Linked DNA regions of Caenorhabditis elegans. The protein of the gene in region 1 purifies or fractionates together with the protein of each later gene. This does not show direct contact. Each region holds a gene or a part of one and is shown on either strand. Other genes may lie near its edges.

The links.
Region 2: the proteins of hsp-16.49 (region 1) and F42H10.2 fractionate together in Caenorhabditis elegans (co-fractionation; one large-scale study listed by BioGRID). This does not show direct contact.
Region 3: the proteins of hsp-16.49 (region 1) and pole-3 fractionate together in Caenorhabditis elegans (co-fractionation; one large-scale study listed by BioGRID). This does not show direct contact.

What each region holds. Positions count from the first base shown.
Region 1 is NC_003283.11:9,087,720-9,093,624, reverse strand, and holds hsp-16.49 (Heat shock protein Hsp-16.48/Hsp-16.49), read left to right. Parts: upstream 1-3,858; coding exon 3,859-3,996; intron 3,997-4,051; coding exon 4,052-4,345; downstream 4,346-5,905. Other genes in the region: T27E4.1 (C2 domain-containing protein), read right to left, coding at 1-198, 247-369, 544-633, 887-928; hsp-16.11 (Heat shock protein Hsp-16.1/Hsp-16.11), read right to left, coding at 3,021-3,332, 3,385-3,510; hsp-16.48 (Heat shock protein Hsp-16.48/Hsp-16.49), read right to left, coding at 5,008-5,301, 5,357-5,494; hsp-16.1 (Heat shock protein Hsp-16.1/Hsp-16.11), read left to right, coding at 5,843-5,905.
Region 2 is NC_003281.10:8,487,252-8,492,788, forward strand, and holds F42H10.2 (coiled-coil-helix-coiled-coil-helix domain-containing protein), read left to right. Parts: upstream 1-3,368; 5' UTR 3,369-3,393; coding exon 3,394-3,654; intron 3,655-3,710; coding exon 3,711-3,797; 3' UTR 3,798-3,853; downstream 3,854-5,537. Other genes in the region: LIM and SH3 domain protein F42H10.3, read left to right, coding at 156-269, 449-642, 716-871; Splicing factor ESS-2, read right to left, coding at 1,205-1,568, 1,690-2,285, 2,349-2,522, 2,571-2,831, 2,886-3,086.
Region 3 is NC_003281.10:6,460,349-6,466,407, reverse strand, and holds pole-3 (DNA polymerase epsilon subunit 3), read left to right. Parts: upstream 1-3,551; 5' UTR 3,552-3,560; coding exon 3,561-3,827; intron 3,828-3,870; coding exon 3,871-4,000; intron 4,001-4,054; coding exon 4,055-4,071; 3' UTR 4,072-4,192; downstream 4,193-6,059. Other genes in the region: nduf-2.2 (Complex I-49kD), read right to left, coding at 1-78, 141-452, 506-626, 672-846, 890-1,023, 1,068-1,184; dlc-1 (Dynein light chain 1, cytoplasmic), read left to right, coding at 2,644-2,735, 3,016-3,193; algn-1 (Chitobiosyldiphosphodolichol beta-mannosyltransferase), read right to left, coding at 4,226-5,039, 5,087-5,239, 5,569-5,696, 5,744-5,933, 6,047-6,059.

The DNA.
Region 1 (5,905 bases):
TGTGTTTATCCAGTAATCCATTTCTGCCACAATCACATTCTGATCAAACTCGTCGATATCACAGATTTGAATACGAAGAAGAGTATTTTTGAATTCCCGCGGCGCCACTTTGCATGTGAAAAATTCATTGTAAATAGTTGTGGAAGCACGTACGACATTCAGCGTTTGATATGTGAACGGATCTTTTTCTTTGATATCCTGAACATTTGAAATTACAGAATTCTATCAAAAGTAATATTCACGTACTTGCCAAGTGATGGTTCTTGCCCATCCCATCACCGAAGTTTTTCTTGATATTCCTTTTACTAGATGCATAACAGCTCGTGATTCGGTTTTGTGAAGTGTTGGGGAAATTGGGTAGTTTGTAACCTAAAAAATATTTTCTTAATAAAAATTAGCTTTTTTACTATGAATAGAGTATTAGTGAAGTGTCCAAAATTTTTATTCGCACTTCTGGCAGGTTTTTATTCGCTTTTAAAGTAACTAAATTGAATAGTTCATATACCCTCATTTTTCAAGTTTTATATGTATGTAAATACATACATTTCGGATGTAGAAGTTAAATTCATTCTCAGCTTCCACATATTCAAATGCCACCGACAGACATGGCTGCACCCTCCTTGGTGTCGGAACCTGAAAATATAAGTTTTAGAAAACTAGTTATGAATGATGAATTTGAAAGATTGGAACTTTACAAATTTTCTACCACACCGTTCAATTCTTTATAATTTTAATTGTCAATTTGTTTTATTGAGGGGCCGTTAAATTTATTTTTATTAAATAAATTTATTTATTAGTTTTTCTAAATTACTCTCAATCTTATGAAAATATAATTTTTGAGAATTCAATATTCTCAATTAAGTATATTTCATATTATAAATCATACCTCCGCGTCGTCGCTGAGCCTTTCCATCCAATTGTACATCATATCGGCGAAGCGAGAGTATTCCCGGAAAGTGAACGATTCAGACAGTTAGACAAACCATTTTTTCCACGCATAACAATCGAATCGATGTGTGATTTGGGCAAAAACGGAAATAATATGAAAACGAGAGAGTAAAATCAGAGCGATGTGGGAGGATGAGCTAGTTAAGGGAATGTGAAACGGAGGAACAAAAGTTTTTGAAAGCAAAGAGAGAAAAGATTGGAGCAGTAGTATATGGACGTTGGCATTATGTCCTTCGGGAGGAAAGGCTCAGCAGTTGAGAGAAAAAAAGAAAGGAAGAAGGAGGATACTTGTGACGAATGACACCCTTTAATCGACGGTTCTTGAGAGGGTTTTGAACGAATGAATTGAAGTGGGAATTTTCGTGGCTTTATTTTGAGAAATGAGTGAAGAATGAGGCTTATATAGGTATGTGTGTACACATCAAATTCTCAAGGGAACTAATTATAGACCCAAATCTTGCTCACCCACAATAACAATTGAGATATATGTATGTCTATTTCAAAAAAAAAGTCGATATATGTATTTTCGGAGTAAGTTTGAACGATTATTTCGGATTCAACATATTTATTAACGAGTGCCTAACAGCTTTTAGATAACTCACTCAGACTCTGATGGTGCACTTGAAAACTGTTTTCATAGTTGAACTCAGTTCCCAAAATTTCATTTAAAAAAATGCGACGGTTATTTTTCAGAATTTGAACAAATGAAAATTTCTAATTGATGAGATATTTTCTGAAAATTCACTACAATGCAAATGCCATAAATCGCGCGAACAAATGTAATCGCATTCTAACTTCCAGTAAAATTGAAAATGTTATAATTTGTGTTAATTTTCGAGAGCAAGTAATCCACCTATAATTTTAAAAATAATATGAATTTGTGATATTTTTCGAAAGTAAGTAATAAATAAATGCCGGCAATGTACTCCTTGCATAATGCCTAGTTTTGGTATTGCACAGCCCCTCCCATCCTAACACATTCTGCATTGCTCCGCGGAACCCGCCAGATGTCATGCCTTACAACACCCTTACCCTCTCTTACCGCCACTTCATAAACTTACCTGGCTGGGGGTTATCTCGCGATCATGAAGGCGGGATCCCCATGGTGAGGCCTATCCATTGCACTTTTGGATGGGCTGACTCGCAGTCTCAGGGCAGTCTCGAGTTGAGATTCGCCAACAGCTTAATTTTTGCGTATCGGGGCTGCGTGCGCGCGGCCCTGAAAAAATCTAAATACTGTTCTTAAAAAAAGCCGGTATGATTAGCGAAATCGTGTTCAGTTAGGAAAAAGCATCGATACTCTGTTTCCAAAATCAACCCTGTAGTGAACTCCATATTAGTAATGGAATATGGGGTTTGCTTCAACTTTCTTTTTTGGAAATTCGACAGTCTACCAAAACTTTGATTGAGCGTTTTTAAAAGCAGTTAACAATTTTTCGCTCGTTTCATAATGAAATTTTGTCATTTCAGCTGATCATAAATGCATTTTAACAGGGACTCCTACGGCAACGACTTCGAGTTATAATCGCGATCAGATAGAAAACTGTTTGAACGTTCTGCTACTGAAATTGACGTACGTTTTACTTGAAACTGATTCGTTATGCCAATTACTATTGAAAACAGTATTAATATATTTTTCAGGGCCGCGCGCACGCAGCCCCGATACGCAAAAATTAAGCTGTTGGCGAATCTCAACTCGAGACTGCCACACAGGTCAGCCCATCCAAAAGTGCAATGGATAGGCCTCACCATGGGGATCCCGCCTTCATGATCGCGAGATAACCCCCAGCCAGGTAAGTTTAAGAAGTGGCGGTAAGAGAGGGTAAGGGTGTTGTATAGCATGACATCTGGCGGGTTCCGCGGAGCAATGCAGAATGTGTTAGGATGGGAGGGGCTGTGCAATACCCAAAAATAGGCATTATGCAAGAAGTACATTGCCGGCATTTACATATTTATTACTAACTTTCAAAAAATATCACAAATTCATATTATTTTTAAATTTTATTGAAACAGAATACTGGAATTTATAGTAATTACATGCATAGTTCAAAAAAATCATAAAATTACAATAATTATTCAGAAGTTTTTTGTTCAACGGGCGCTTGCTGAATTGGAATAGATCTTCCTTGAATCGCTTCCTTCTTTGGTGCTTCAATTGAAAGTTTTCCATCTTCTGAAAGATTTGAAGCAACTGCACCAACATCAACATCTTCGGGTAGAAGAATAACACGAGAAAATGATTTCTTTGAATATCCATGTTCAGTCTTTAATTCTTGTTCTCCTTGAATTGATAATGTATGTCCATCCAAATTAATTTTCAAATCTTCTGGCTTGAACTGCGAGACATTGAGATTTATGGCAAACTTTTGATCATTGTTAACAATCTGAAAGAAATCTTTTTTATACAAACTCTTGAAAAAAAAACGTGTTACTTACCTCAGAAGATTCAGATGGAGAGCCTCTGCAAACTGGAGTAAATTGACGTTCCATCTGAGCCATATCTCTCATGAGATCACCAAAAACAGAACGTTGAGCTGGACGGAAATAGTGGTAAAGTGACATGATTGTAGTTTGAAGATTTCACAATTAGAGTGAATGTTGTTTGGTTCGGTTTTGTCACTGTATTTATACTCATTTCCACCTTTTTCTAGAACATTCGAGCTGCTTCTTGCAAAAGGAGGGCGACTCACATTCAGAACATTGAGAAATAGTGTGCGTACTGAAGAAACCCAGATACTTTTTCAATCTGCGTCTCTTTGCACCTATGGGGTGTATTTTGAAATGAATGCATCTAGGACCTTCTAGAACATTCTAAACGGCTGCAGGATACGGGTATATAAGCCAATCGTGTTCAGAGGAAACCAATACACTTTGTTCAAGTGCTTACTGTTCATTCTCTAAACTTCAAGAATGCTCATGCTCCGTTCTCCATTTTCTGATTCAAATGTTCTCGATCATTTCTTGGATGAAATCACTGGATCTGTTCAATTTCCATATTGGAGAAATGCTGATCACAACTCATTCAATTTTTCCGACAATATTGGAGAGGTAAGAAAATAATCTCTTTTTCAATTGTTTATTTGTCAAATGTTTTATTTTTCAGATTGTAAATGACGAATCTAAATTCTCTGTTCAACTCGATGTTTCTCATTTCAAACCAGAAGATCTTAAAATTGAATTGGATGGAAGAGAACTAAAAATTGAAGGAATTCAAGAAAAAAAATCAGAGCATGGATACTCGAAACGATCATTTTCAAAAATGATTCTTCTACCAGAAGATGTTGATTTAACTTCTGTCAAATCTGCAATTTCGAATGAAGGAAAACTTCAAATTGAGGCTCCAAAGAAGACTAACTCATCTCGTTCTATTCCCATTAATTTTGTTGCAAAACATTAATCTTTTATTGTATTCCAAATATTCTTAATTTCAATAAAGTCATTAATTTAATTTATTCATGTTCTCTAGCATAACAAAAACATCAAATCCGACTTTCCAATTCAAATATTTCAAAACAACATAACGGCTCAACTTTACAGCATACTCATGCTACGTTTTACCAACCGTTAAACGTTTAGCTATAAAAATTCCTGCATCGTTTCAAACGACTTTTGCAACTTTTTCAAAATTCAGTTTTTCAGCTTAATTTCGCTCACAACTGTGTTGATCAACTGCACCTTTATAACAGCTTTTGACAGTTTTTAAGTGTTTTTATCAAGTCGCAGGAGTTTTCTGAGAAGCCGAGTAGCTGGTAGCTTAAAATATTTTCTGATTTTTCTCTTGAAGAACCTATTTTATGAGGGCCCTGTAGAAGTTGCACGCACTGTAATTTTTTTAAAACATTTTTTATGTTTTTTGTTTTAAGCATAAATTCAAGCTAAAACATTTATTGAGACTAATAAATTTTTTGCATAAAAAGTTTCTGGAATAACTTCAATTATGTTGTTTTGAAATATTTGAATTGGAAAGTCGGATTTGATGTTTTTGTTATGCTAGAGAACATGAATAAATTAAATTAATGACTTTATTGAAATTAAGAATATTTGGAATACAATAAAAGATTAATGTTTTGCAACAAAATTAATGGGAATAGAACGAGATGAGTTAGTCTTCTTTGGAGCCTCAATTTGAAGTTTTCCTTCATTCGAAATTGCAGATTTGACAGAAGTTAAATCAACATCTTCTGGTAGAAGAATCATTTTTGAAAATGATCGTTTCGAGTATCCATGCTCTGATTTTTTTTCTTGAATTCCTTCAATTTTTAGTTCTCTTCCATCCAATTCAATTTTAAGATCTTCTGGTTTGAAATGAGAAACATCGAGTTGAACAGAGAATTTAGATTCGTCATTTACAATCTGAAAAATAAAACATTTGACAAATAAACAATTGAAAAAGAGATTATTTTCTTACCTCTCCAATATTGTCGGAAAAATTGAATGAGTTGTGATCAGCATTTCTCCAATATGGAAATTGAACAGATCCAGTGATTTCATCCAAGAAATGATCGAGAACATTTGAATCAGAAAATGGAGAACGGAGCATGAGCATTCTTGAAGTTTAGAGAATGAACAGTAAGCACTTGAACAAAGTGTATTGGTTTCCTCTGAACACGATTGGCTTATATACCCGTATCCTGCAGCCGTTTAGAATGTTCTAGAAGGTCCTAGATGCATTCATTTCAAAATACACCCCATAGGTGCAAAGAGACGCAGATTGAAAAAGTATCTGGGTTTCTTCAGTACGCACACTATTTCTCAATGTTCTGAATGTGAGTCGCCCTCCTTTTGCAAGAAGCAGCTCGAATGTTCTAGAAAAAGGTGGAAATGAGTATAAATACAGTGACAAAACCGAACCAAACAACATTCACTCTAATTGTGAAATCTTCAAACTACAATCATGTCACTTTACCACTATTTCCGTCCAGCTCAACGTTCTGTTTTTGGTGATCTCATGAGAGAT
Region 2 (5,537 bases), on another chromosome or scaffold:
CAGTGGGGGAGCTAACGCTCCCCCACTGACGCCAAGCCTAAGCCTTGTCTAATTTATGGTATCTAGTTATATAAAGTCCAAATTTTTCGTTGTGCTTCATGTGTAATTTTCTAAAAGCTTTTGTGTTGTGCATTGTTATTTTTCTTCGCTTTCAGTATCTCCAACACCACAAAAATCAATCGGAAGTATTGCTGACTATGATCCAATGAACGGACAATGGGGTACAGCTGCTGCTCAACCGAGAAATTCCGAGAAACTTGGATATTTGAGTAAGGATTTTGTTTTTTTTTTTGGCTTTTGTTTGAATGATTTGCTCATTTGTAATCCACACAAATTTTTTGCACGTTTTGGTACTTATTAATTCGTTTTGTGGAAGAAATAATCTTTTAAAAAGCTCATTTTGAATAATTTTGATCTGTCATTAATTGAAACTAACCGCTTGTTGCAGAGGCTCAAGTGGATAAAGGTCCGGCAAGATTTTGTGCGGATTTTGCAGGAGCTCCACCTCCATCATCAAATAGTATATCTTCAACATCTCCACATTCAACACTTTCTTCTCCACAAAGCACAATTTCACCGACTGGAAAAGCTGGATTTGCAGTTAAGGCAATTTATGATTACGCTGCTGCTGATAAAGACGAGGTAAATTTAAATTAGGTTTTCAACCAGTTTCACGATGAAAATTTATTCAACCATCTAAAATATTTGATTCCAGATTTCATTCCTCGAAGGTGATATCATCGTGAACTGCGAGAAAATTGATGATGGATGGATGACAGGAACAGTTCAACGAACTCTTCAATGGGGAATGCTACCTGCAAATTATGTTCAACCACATAAACTTCCTACCGGATTGCACCGACTTTCTTAATATTTCCAAACCCACGCACATTTTCTATCTCTCCATGACCTGCTCTTGCTCACACATTTCCCCTAAATGCTTCAATTATGCTTCAGGCTTCTGCAGTTATTTTTTCAACTTTCTGAAAATCCCACAAACGGGTTCTGTTCACCTTCTGAATGCCTTTTCTCCATTTGTTTTTCAATCTTCTAAAATGTTATATGGTGCTGAAATTTAAAAATTAAAAATTATAATAAATGAATTTACTATCAATTATTAGGCCATTGTCATAAATAATAAACCGTGTCTATAAGGCACATGAGAACAAAATATACAGATCTAAATTATACTAATCTTATAATATTAGAAAAAGTCTCCAGCATTTGCTCTATCTGCAGCTCCGGCTGATGTTGAAGGTCCGACGTTATCCCCTTTTCTTCGGATCATAGATTCAATCCCAGGTGTGCCAGGAGTTTGTGCTCCTTGGCTCCAAGATGATCCAGGTGTAGTAGAACCACGACTCCATGCAGAACCAGGAGTTGTGGATCGCTTTGAACTTGACGGTCTTGACCAATTCGACATGATTTTCGGCGAGGCGAAAGGAGATTTGTGAGCAGGTAACATTTTTAATCCAAGCTTCTTGGTTGCCAACTTTTGAGCAGCAGGAGATAATTGTGCAAGCTTGTCTGAGACTCGCTTGGATCCAAATCCAGGTGTTCGGCTGAAACTTTACCAAGTTGAAAATTATTTGAAGTACTATTATCTCGTTATAGATTTTAATACCATAGAGAAATATATTTTATAACTTGAAAAAATAAACAATTTTTAATTGAAAAATGAAAACTCACTGAGCTCCTTCAGCTGCTCTCATCGCAACTTTTCTCTTGTCTCTATATTTGGCCGCGATTGAATCATTCATAGATTGTGCAATTTTCTCCCGATACGGAACCTCTGGTATCTTGAATACAGGCGCCGCACCAGGCAACGAATGCTCTGTAACGTCAGGCGCATCAAGTCGGAATGGTGTTCCATCAATTTCTCCCCAAGTCATAAGAGGAGAATCCATGTCGTCAGGATTTGGATTCGGTGTTTCGAGTAATTTGAATGAGTTGGCTGGAGTTACTTCATTTCCCAAAAAATCAACTTTTCCGGCATTCGCGAGAGCATGGCTCACTGCTGCTCGAGTCATAGCTTCGTCGCTAGGCTTCAATTTTCCGGAGTCTGGAAACCTAGTGCCACGTTTATTTATTTCAGTTTGCTGTTTTCTAGCTGCATCTGCAATCTCTGCAGGTGTCAGAGCTGCCCCATCCGGATTGAAGAGTACAGTGTTCCATGCTTTGTATGCCCAATTGTCTACATTCAGAGGTCTATTGTCATCAGCATCTACAGCATGTTTTAAAGCCAACTGCACGTCAGCTTCAGCAGCAATTGCTTGTCGAGTCACCTGAAATTAGATTAAGTTACGAATTCGACGATATCAGATTTTATTCGTGAAAGAATATCTTACAAGGTTTTTGTTATGCTCTTCCTCGGCTTTATAAACCCAAGGACGACGTGCATCTTCTCGTTCCCTCATAACTTTCGCCAATTCCTCGAAGGAAGCATTGTCTTCTGATGTGTATTTGTTGAGATATGACGTTAAAGTCTCTTCTTTCTTCTTTTTTCGTTTCCGATTTAACGCCTGAAACTCTGCGAAAGATAGTAATGGATTGAAAATCATAAATCTAACCTCATTATCTCCTTCCTCATTAGCAAAAGGCATTGGAGATTGCATCCAATCATGTGCACTCGAAGTTGAAGCAGATGAAGGGCCCGGTGTATCTGCATCGAAAGATGAAACATCAGGAGCCTCAGTTGTCGAACGAGTTGTTATTGGGGTTCTGAAGCTTCTATCGGTCCGCACACTTCCAGTACTGCAGAACTTCATTTGAAGTTCTTTTATTTTATTAATGTCCTTATTTGCAACAGCCTCCAAATACTCTTTCTGTGCCTGAAAATAGAACTCATTAAAACAGTAAATATTTATAAATAATGATTATTTTACCTGCATTTTCTTGAGATGTGGAAAATAATCTTTTTCTATAATTTTATCAAGTCCAGCAATGTACTTCTCCTCGGGAACAACTTGGCGCTCAATTTTCTTAGTAACTAGGGTTTTCTGTGACAATTTCACTACTTTTCCCTCGTTTATTGATTTTGGCACCATCAGCTGAGCTCGCTCGTCATTTTTGTCGAACGACGACATTTTTCGAGTTCTGAAAATTTACAAAATAAAATTAAAAGCACTATTTTAAAAAGAAAAAACCACGAAAATTAGAAAAATAAAAGAAATTGCGAAATTTTATAAAAAATCGGAGTTTCGTAGTGCAAGTTGTTTAGCGCTCTCGTACGTAGTCCTCGTGGACAATAAACTTACTGTTAGAATTTGTTTTCTTTCAAAGATTATTTGATTAAATACATAACACTTCTTGTCCGTAAATTAATATATTTGATTTCTGGTTAATTTATCTTCAAAAACATTAATTGCTTTCAGAAAAGGTGATAATCTCGAAATGGCTTCAACAAAAGATGAAGTTGTGAGAATGAGCGTCGATGAGTACTGGGAAGATATTAAAGACGATTATCTTATACAACTAGCTAACACGGACCCTAATGAAGTCTATCCAAGCAATAACCCCGGACCAACAACTGCTGATGGCCAAATCAATTTTGAATGTCACTGTGTCGGTCATCTTGTTGGAAGCCCTTGTGGATTCGAGTTTCGGGAAGCGATTACGTGCCAAAAGACCAATAGTGATGGTGAAATAGAGCAGGTAACAATTATTTAGCTCTAGAGTTCTCGAAAATAAATAAATAATATGTATTGTAGGGAGCTTGCGGTAAGGAGTTGATGTCGTTCATGGAGTGTGTCACACGAACACAGTGTTTCGGTACCGGTGACAATGATAAAAAGTGATGATTCAATTATAATTTGTTCATTTTGTTAATTTATAAATAATTATTGTTTAAATACTGTTTTGTAATAATTATACTGTATTTTGTGCATTACAAAGAGTATTGCGAAACGTTTATTTGCTCTCTTTTCTTTTCATCTGTATATCTTCGAACACTCCTTCATTTTTTGGTTTTCTTTTCGCTGTTCGGATGTTCCTTTGGCCGGCTTGAAGTACTTTTCATATCTATTCTCCTTTTCCACTTGAAGTTTTAGTTGCTGTGGAAGATTCGATTCGGCCATCAGTTGTCAGGCTTAAATATGGTAAAAACGTTGCAGATCATTAATCGGCGGGAAGCGGGAATTTTGCATATTGTAGGAGAAGAAAGTATAGACCCGGTTTTACGGTAAAGTTCTTCTTCGCTTTAACAAATTGCTTCACTTGTCATACTTACGCTATTTTTGTAGGGCGCCAATGAAAGAATTTAGCGTTTCGAGTTCATCTATCAATTTGTATTTAAATTCTTGTGATTTTTGAGTGAGCATTGTAAGAAAAAATGATACTCAAATTCTCCGATTGGGTCAGATCAAATGATTTTCAATGTATTATAAATATTTTTTCAAGATCTCAATAGACGCCTTTTGATAACATATCCTAATCTAAATATTCTAATACCATATATCAAACAAAAATATCATGTTGACAGGCTGGATAGAGAGATTTTATACAATTTAAGAGATTCAGAGAAACGGGTGTCGGTTGAAGTGTAGGCTTTTCCCCTTAGTGTTTGCGCGCCCCCCTTCGCAAGCAGTTAGAGACGGTAGAAAAAGGGAAAAACCGAGAAGCTACTTGAAAATGTCTCGTGTTGAGAAAGGAAAAGATCGAGTCAAGAGAAGCAAAACTGGGGAGATATCAGCTAAATATACTCCCAGAACACCACTTGATATGAAAGTAGTAGTTTCTCTGTGAATTATGAGTGATTTCTGTGTTTTCCAGTGTTTTTTCGGCAGGTACAAGTCCAAACAGCATATTACGATGTTTAAAAAATATATTTTGCCTCAAATCGTACTCACCGGTTAAAGAGACATGACACGATTTTCCTTCATGGGTCTCGCCGCGAAATAAGTAAAGTAGAATGTTCCTTTAAACTTCGGGTACGGTTTTGAGGCAATATCGATTTTTTCTTCTTTTTTTGTTTGATGCTAAATAGAATAGGTTTTTCGCACCTTGAAACTGCAATTTCATGTTTAAATGTGTTTATTAGTTTTTTATAAATTTCCTATCACCCTACAAGAACAAAATTCATGAGCGCATTGAGAGAATTCTGAAATTTTTCAAAGATAAGATTTTTAGTCAAGCTCTCTTACATGCTCCTCTATACACTGATCAGTTAAAGTACTTTATCTGGTTTTTGTAGCGAGACCTGTCAACAGTGATAATTTAACTACCTCTCCTAACCCCCTCGAGATATGCGCACCCGCCTATTTCCCTCACTATACCCAGGTCGTTTACGTCCTCTTATCCGTCTGCGTTTCTTCTTCTCCACGCTCTCTATTCCCTCTTCTTCAATTATTTTTTGCAACCAGTTTTGCATCGTTCCACTAAATGGTACAAAAATTATTTTTCATATTTTTTGCCGTTTAGTTCTTCTTCTTTTCATAATTATCTTATCACCTTCAGAGACACGATGTATTTATGTATTTTGGGACTATCTTTGGTTCAGGGTGGGTTTTTTAACGCGCCAAAGTTGACAAAAGAGCTTG
Region 3 (6,059 bases), on another chromosome or scaffold:
CATCTTGCTTAATTCCACTTCCACGAACCATCACACCACTGAATCCCCAATTAAGAGCATCGGATGCGGAGACAAGGCCTAAAATAATGAAAATTAGAAGATATTGGATTTCATTATGCTCTCAATGATGTCACACTTACCAATATCAACTGTTCTAGCTTTCCAGATTCGATTTTCTGTAAGCATATCCTCCAGTTCATCGATACGAGCGGGAAACTTCACAGCCCAATCATAAATATCATCCATTAATCCAACAGGAAGATCCCATGCGACTCCGCCTGGACGAACATAGTTTGCGTGCATTCTTGCACCTGAAACTCGTTCTGAGAATTCGAATAATTTTTCGCGTTCTTCGAACATCCAGAAGAATGGGGTCATAGCTCCAACGTCGAGGGCGTGTGTGGTGATTCCCATAATATGATTTTGAATTCGAGTGAGTTCGCCGAAAAGAACTGAAAATATGTTTTAAAATGTTAAATTGCGATACTCGATTCATATAGCTCACTTCTGATATACTTCGCTCTTGGTGGAACGTCAATCCCCAACAATTTTTCAATTGCCAGAGAGAAAGCTTGTTCGTTGCACATCATGGATACGTAGTCAAGGCGATCGAAATACGGGAGTGCCTACAATTTTATTCGAATTCGAATTGAAATTTGTTTCGACTCAACCTGTGTGTAGGTCTTGTGCTCAATGAGCTTTTCTGTAGCGCGATGTAGCAGACCAATATGTGGAATAGCTTTAATGATGACTTCTCCTTCCAGCTTGAGAACAAGACGAAGAACTCCGTGAGCCGCAGGGTGCTGTGGTCCAAAGTTGAGAATCATGTTTTCCAGATTCTTCTCTCTGAAATAGAATTTAAAAATCGCAAAAAAAACGTTGCAGCAACCTCTTCTTTCCCTCATAATTGTCGCTGAGCACCGGATCGCTGTATGCAAGTTTCTCCAATTTGTCAAGTCCGATTTGATCGTCGAAATCGGATACGCGTTCTGACATCCAAAGTTTCCCAAGAGTTCCGCCAGTCTGAAATCGTGAAAATGCATTAAAGTATATGCAAACAGTAATACCTTGAATTGACGTTCGAATTTAGCGTCAGGATACCAAATTGTGTGAGAATCACGATTAGAAATAGCTGGCCTGGCGCATGCTACCGCTCGAAGAGGATGCAATGATCGCGAAAGCATCTCTGAACAAATTTACAGTAATAATTTACAGTTAAACTTGAAAATTCAAGGAGAAAACGTGTAAAACAAATATTGCTAATTTCAAATACTACCGTAGTCGCTTTCAATCGTTGCGGGACCCTACTCGAGACTTGCTCCTTGCGCCTTTAGGCTATTCAAAGATTAAGGTAGCGCTTAGCAAAATGTTTAACTTTCGAAAAATTCCGAATTTTTCAAAATAAGAGTATTCGTAAAAAAATTTCCTACTTGAATCTTTGGGCTTTTTAATCTTTCTCAAACGCCCTTTATTTTCCCAAAAAAACACACTTTCTCTAAAAAGAAATAACTAAATTCCAGAATTTATAAGCAATTATTCATAGAATTTGCAAAGATAGTGTTTCCAGTGCTTTTTCGAGCGATAACAACATTTTGCTAGTAGAGATTGTGGAATTTTTGTTGACGATAGTTGATTAAAAGTAGATTAAAAGTGTTAAAAATAGATTTAAAGTGTTCATCATATATTTTTAAGCTCTTGGTTTTTTCCAAGAGCTTTGCTATGTTTCAAATTGATCTTCTATGCATCTATTACTTTTATATTCACCCTCTTCCTTTTTCCGGTCTATTGTATTCAGGAGTTAGAGTCTATAAACACATTCATGCTCGTCTCACACAACAACCTCGCAGTTTCTTCCAACGCCCTTCACTTTTTCTTTTTTTTCTCCTTCTTCTCGCTCCCACCAACACCCCAAAACATTTTGAAATACGCGGGCACGCGCCTGTTTGCATTTGAGTGCGCGCGCATTGCCCCGACGACAGCCGAGTCGCACACTCCAACACAGCCGGGTCGCGTGCGACGCGGCTGTGCAGCGTGCGACGCGCCCCGCCTATCTCGCTCTCGGCTTCGCTCAGCCATCTTCTCTTTCGTCTCCCAATGCCACCCATTCCTCCACTCTTTGAAACTGTTATCTTTTGGCTCACTTCATTCTCCTCCACTTTCGATATCTTTTCTCTGTTGTCTTACGAATGCTGCTGCTGATAAATGCGTACAATCTGATGTGTACTCTTATCGAAAAAGTAGCCTGTTTGTTGACATGAAATATCTTTTGAAAAAAGTTCCCGATGACACATAACTGGGGAACTCTTCTTCTTTCATCTATTTCATTATTTCTAAACTGTTCAGATTTAAACAATTCACGTCAAAAGTTTTTCATGTTGCGGGCGCAAATACTCTGTACTCAAGTGCCTCCGAGCTTTGCAAATTATATTTTTAATACTCTGAAGAGCCTTATTCGTACTAACATACTCCTGTTTCGTGTCATAAATTGGGTCGCTCAAATAATTACCTTGCCGTTCTTCCATTATCCTTATCTATCTCTTTGACCTCCGCATTCCGCATTCACAACCGTTATTATAACTACTACCGAGTACCCGGTGTTCAATTAATTTAATTTTGTATTTTTTGCAGCCAAATCCGTTCAAAATGGTTGACCGCAAGGCTGTGATCAAGAATGCCGACATGTCCGATGACATGCAACAGGACGCCATCGACTGCGCCACCCAGGCCCTCGAGAAGTGAGTTATGAGCTTTCTCATTGCATTTTAAACGCTTGAATAATTCGATTGCCATGAACAACACTTGGTCGCTTAGTAGAGAAAAAGTGTAAAGAAATGTCGTTTAGCTGTTTGGAACGGCTCATCGGTCCCTTGATTTAAACTAAAGTGGACGGCAGCCCGAGTCTAGGGGAGGGGGCGAGCAGGAGCGACCAGCTGATCGAACAAATCTGATCCTTGTGCAAGAAAAAAGCGAAGCGATGAAAGTCTAAAAAATAAAATCAAAACATTTTTTTTTCAGATACAACATCGAGAAGGATATTGCCGCTTACATCAAGAAGGAGTTCGACAAGAAATACAACCCAACCTGGCATTGCATCGTCGGAAGAAACTTTGGAAGCTACGTGACCCACGAGACTAAGCACTTTATCTACTTCTACCTTGGACAGGTCGCCATCCTGCTATTCAAGTCTGGATAAATCCCATCCTGTTCTTAAAAAACATTCAATGATCTTTAAATTGTGACCTGATCCTACGTGTACCTTAGGTGGCGTAGGATCTTCAGTGTGCACTCTTGTTAAATCTTCCTTTTCCTCCCAAAAAACATTTTCCTTCGTCGCATTCTATTTATTTAGCTCAAACTGTTCATTTTCTTTGAATCTTCCTCCATCACCCATAAATCTTCTTACGTTGTCCGTTTTTGAGAGAAAAGAGAACTCATAATATTTTTGTTCTCGAAAAGTGCTCGCACTAAAAGTAAAAATAAAAGGATAGCTTTAAATCCCTTAATTATCTGTGCTTCATTTTTATACTCGAAACTGAACAAGGCAATAATTTAAGATAGAAATGTCATCAAACGATGTGGATCAAAACGATGATCGAATTGCTCAAATGATGATGCCAGCAGCAATTGTGACTCGGCTCATGAAAGAAGACAATATTTCTGCATCAAAAGATGCTCGAGACGTCATCGCTCGTGCTGCAGCAGTGTTTCTCATAAACTTGTCCGACGTTTCGGCTCAATCTGCTCGCGATCAGAAGCACAAGACGATCTCAGGAGATGATGTTGTCAAAGGACTCCGAGAGCTTGAGAATACTTCTATTCACAATCATGTAATTATGGGTTTCGAAAGAGTTAAGAAATTAAAATTTCCAGTGCAAGTCCGCCAACGATAAATGGAAAGTTATTAGTCAGCAGAAGGCTCTCGCTCGTAAAAATCCAGTTGAATCCAGCTCTGTCAATGCTGAAATGGATGACGACATTATTGACGATACTCCTGTCGATGGTTAGTTCTATTCTTTAAATCTGAAGTTTATCTGAATAATTTATAATATTGCAGATTCATTGATGAACTGATCACTCATAACCAACTCATTCCTGCTCAAAACGATCCTTCCTGTAAAATCTCATTCCGATTCTCAACGCGTGTCCCACTTTTGTCTCTAACATTTCACTTTGATAAACAATTTTGGCCAATAGTTTATTGAATGTACAAAACCCCGAAAAAAAATTAAAGCGATCTGAATGCCCCCGAAAAAGTGCCCATAAATAAGTGAATCGGCATGATCAATAAAATAGCGAAAAATGAGAATTGAATAATTGCACGAAGTTTGGCGAATCCATTGTCTGGAACTCGAAAGTCTGCACCAGAGGTAGCTGATCTCTTCCACATCACTTCCCAAGAATCGAATTTTTGCTCCTGTGTATTCTTCTTGAGCCGTATCAATTCATTGCAATTATTTGGGAATCCACGAGAAAGTTCAATAATTTGACGACTCAACTGCTCAGAATCATCGAAAAGATATCCATTAGTTTTCTCCTCAACGAGCTCATCAATACATTTGAATTTTAGAGCCAATGCTGGAACTTTAGCTCCAAACATATCAACAACTTTCATCGGAAGATCCAATCCAGACGTGCTTGTGTGCAAAGAGATTCCTAAGTCAGCAGAGGCTAGAATCTTTGGATAATCTTCTGCTTCCAACCATGGAGTCAATACATCGACATTCTTCAGATTTTTCTCGTGAATTTCTTGTAAATATTTCGCTTTCAGTGGACCTTTTCCAGTGATAATCATCAAAACTCGCGGGAGTCCGATTGTTTTGTCATATGCAACCAGCGCATCGAGAAGAATTTCAAACCGTTCATCAGGTGTCCAGGATGTGGAAGAGAGAAACACAATGGGTCGAGTTGTTAGTAGCTGCACTACTCCGTTCGAAGATTTATGAGTCAGAATTGTGGAGTCTTCGTCTTTTCCTTGTAGAATTCGTTCCTTTTGTGAAAGTCTTAGATACAAATCATGGATCTCTTGTATTGTTGTGTCTCTGAAAATTTCGAGATTAATTTTCAGAAATTTCACATTTGTTCAAACCTAAATTTCCACGTCGGCGGCCTATCATAGAATGTGCTGGCTCTGATGCCCCATCGATCCATGAGATCTCGACGCATGGCATTTGTTACACACAGATTATAATCGGATAGTTTTCCACATAGACCTTCTAGGAATCCAACACATCTCACAATTCTGAAAATGTAAATTGTTCAATACGAGTTTGATTTATTGTACAGACGCGAATGTTTTGGCTAAAATACGTTGCCCGGTCTCGGCACGACAAGTTTTCGTTAAATATGAAAGGTTATGCGCCTTTGAAGAGTACTATAGTTTCAAATTCGTTGCTGCAACAGTTTGATGTGATTTTTCCAGTTTTCGTAAAAAATATTTTTCATGGGATAAATTACAGTACTCTTTAAAGGCGTATGTCATTCTTCGTTTCACAAAGATTTGTCGTGTGGAGACCGAGTACCGACTGTTTTTTTTCGCGTCGGGGAACAATGCCGGTGTCCAATACTCACTGGGCTTTTTTGGTTTTTTTATCGTTTCCAAAAACTTGATCATCGGTCAATTGGTATTTATTTTGTAGAATTGAATACATGTAATTGTGCCAATCAATTGAGAATTTTGCGAATTTGAATATGGAAAACTGAAATTAAAGTTGATATTTTATAACGGTAGTCAGTAGAATCCTACCATGAAACAAACTATCATCGTCGGAAGCGCCGGCGGATTCTGCATAAGAATAATTCTTAAATTAAAGGCGCTTGTTTGAAAAGCGAGAGCCAAGAAAAGAGTTATAAAGTTCCAAAAAAGTTTCAGTGGAAGTTGCACGAAAGCTGGTAACGAATCCATGAAGTCAGGAGGTGGCGGGATTCCAACTATTCTGAAATTTTATTTATTTGGAAAAATTCTTTGGATGATTTGTAACTAAATTTATTTTTTTAAACGGAACAACTTTTTTGCAAATTTTTTAGATAAAAATTTTCTGAAACTCACTTTATCCTTGGAT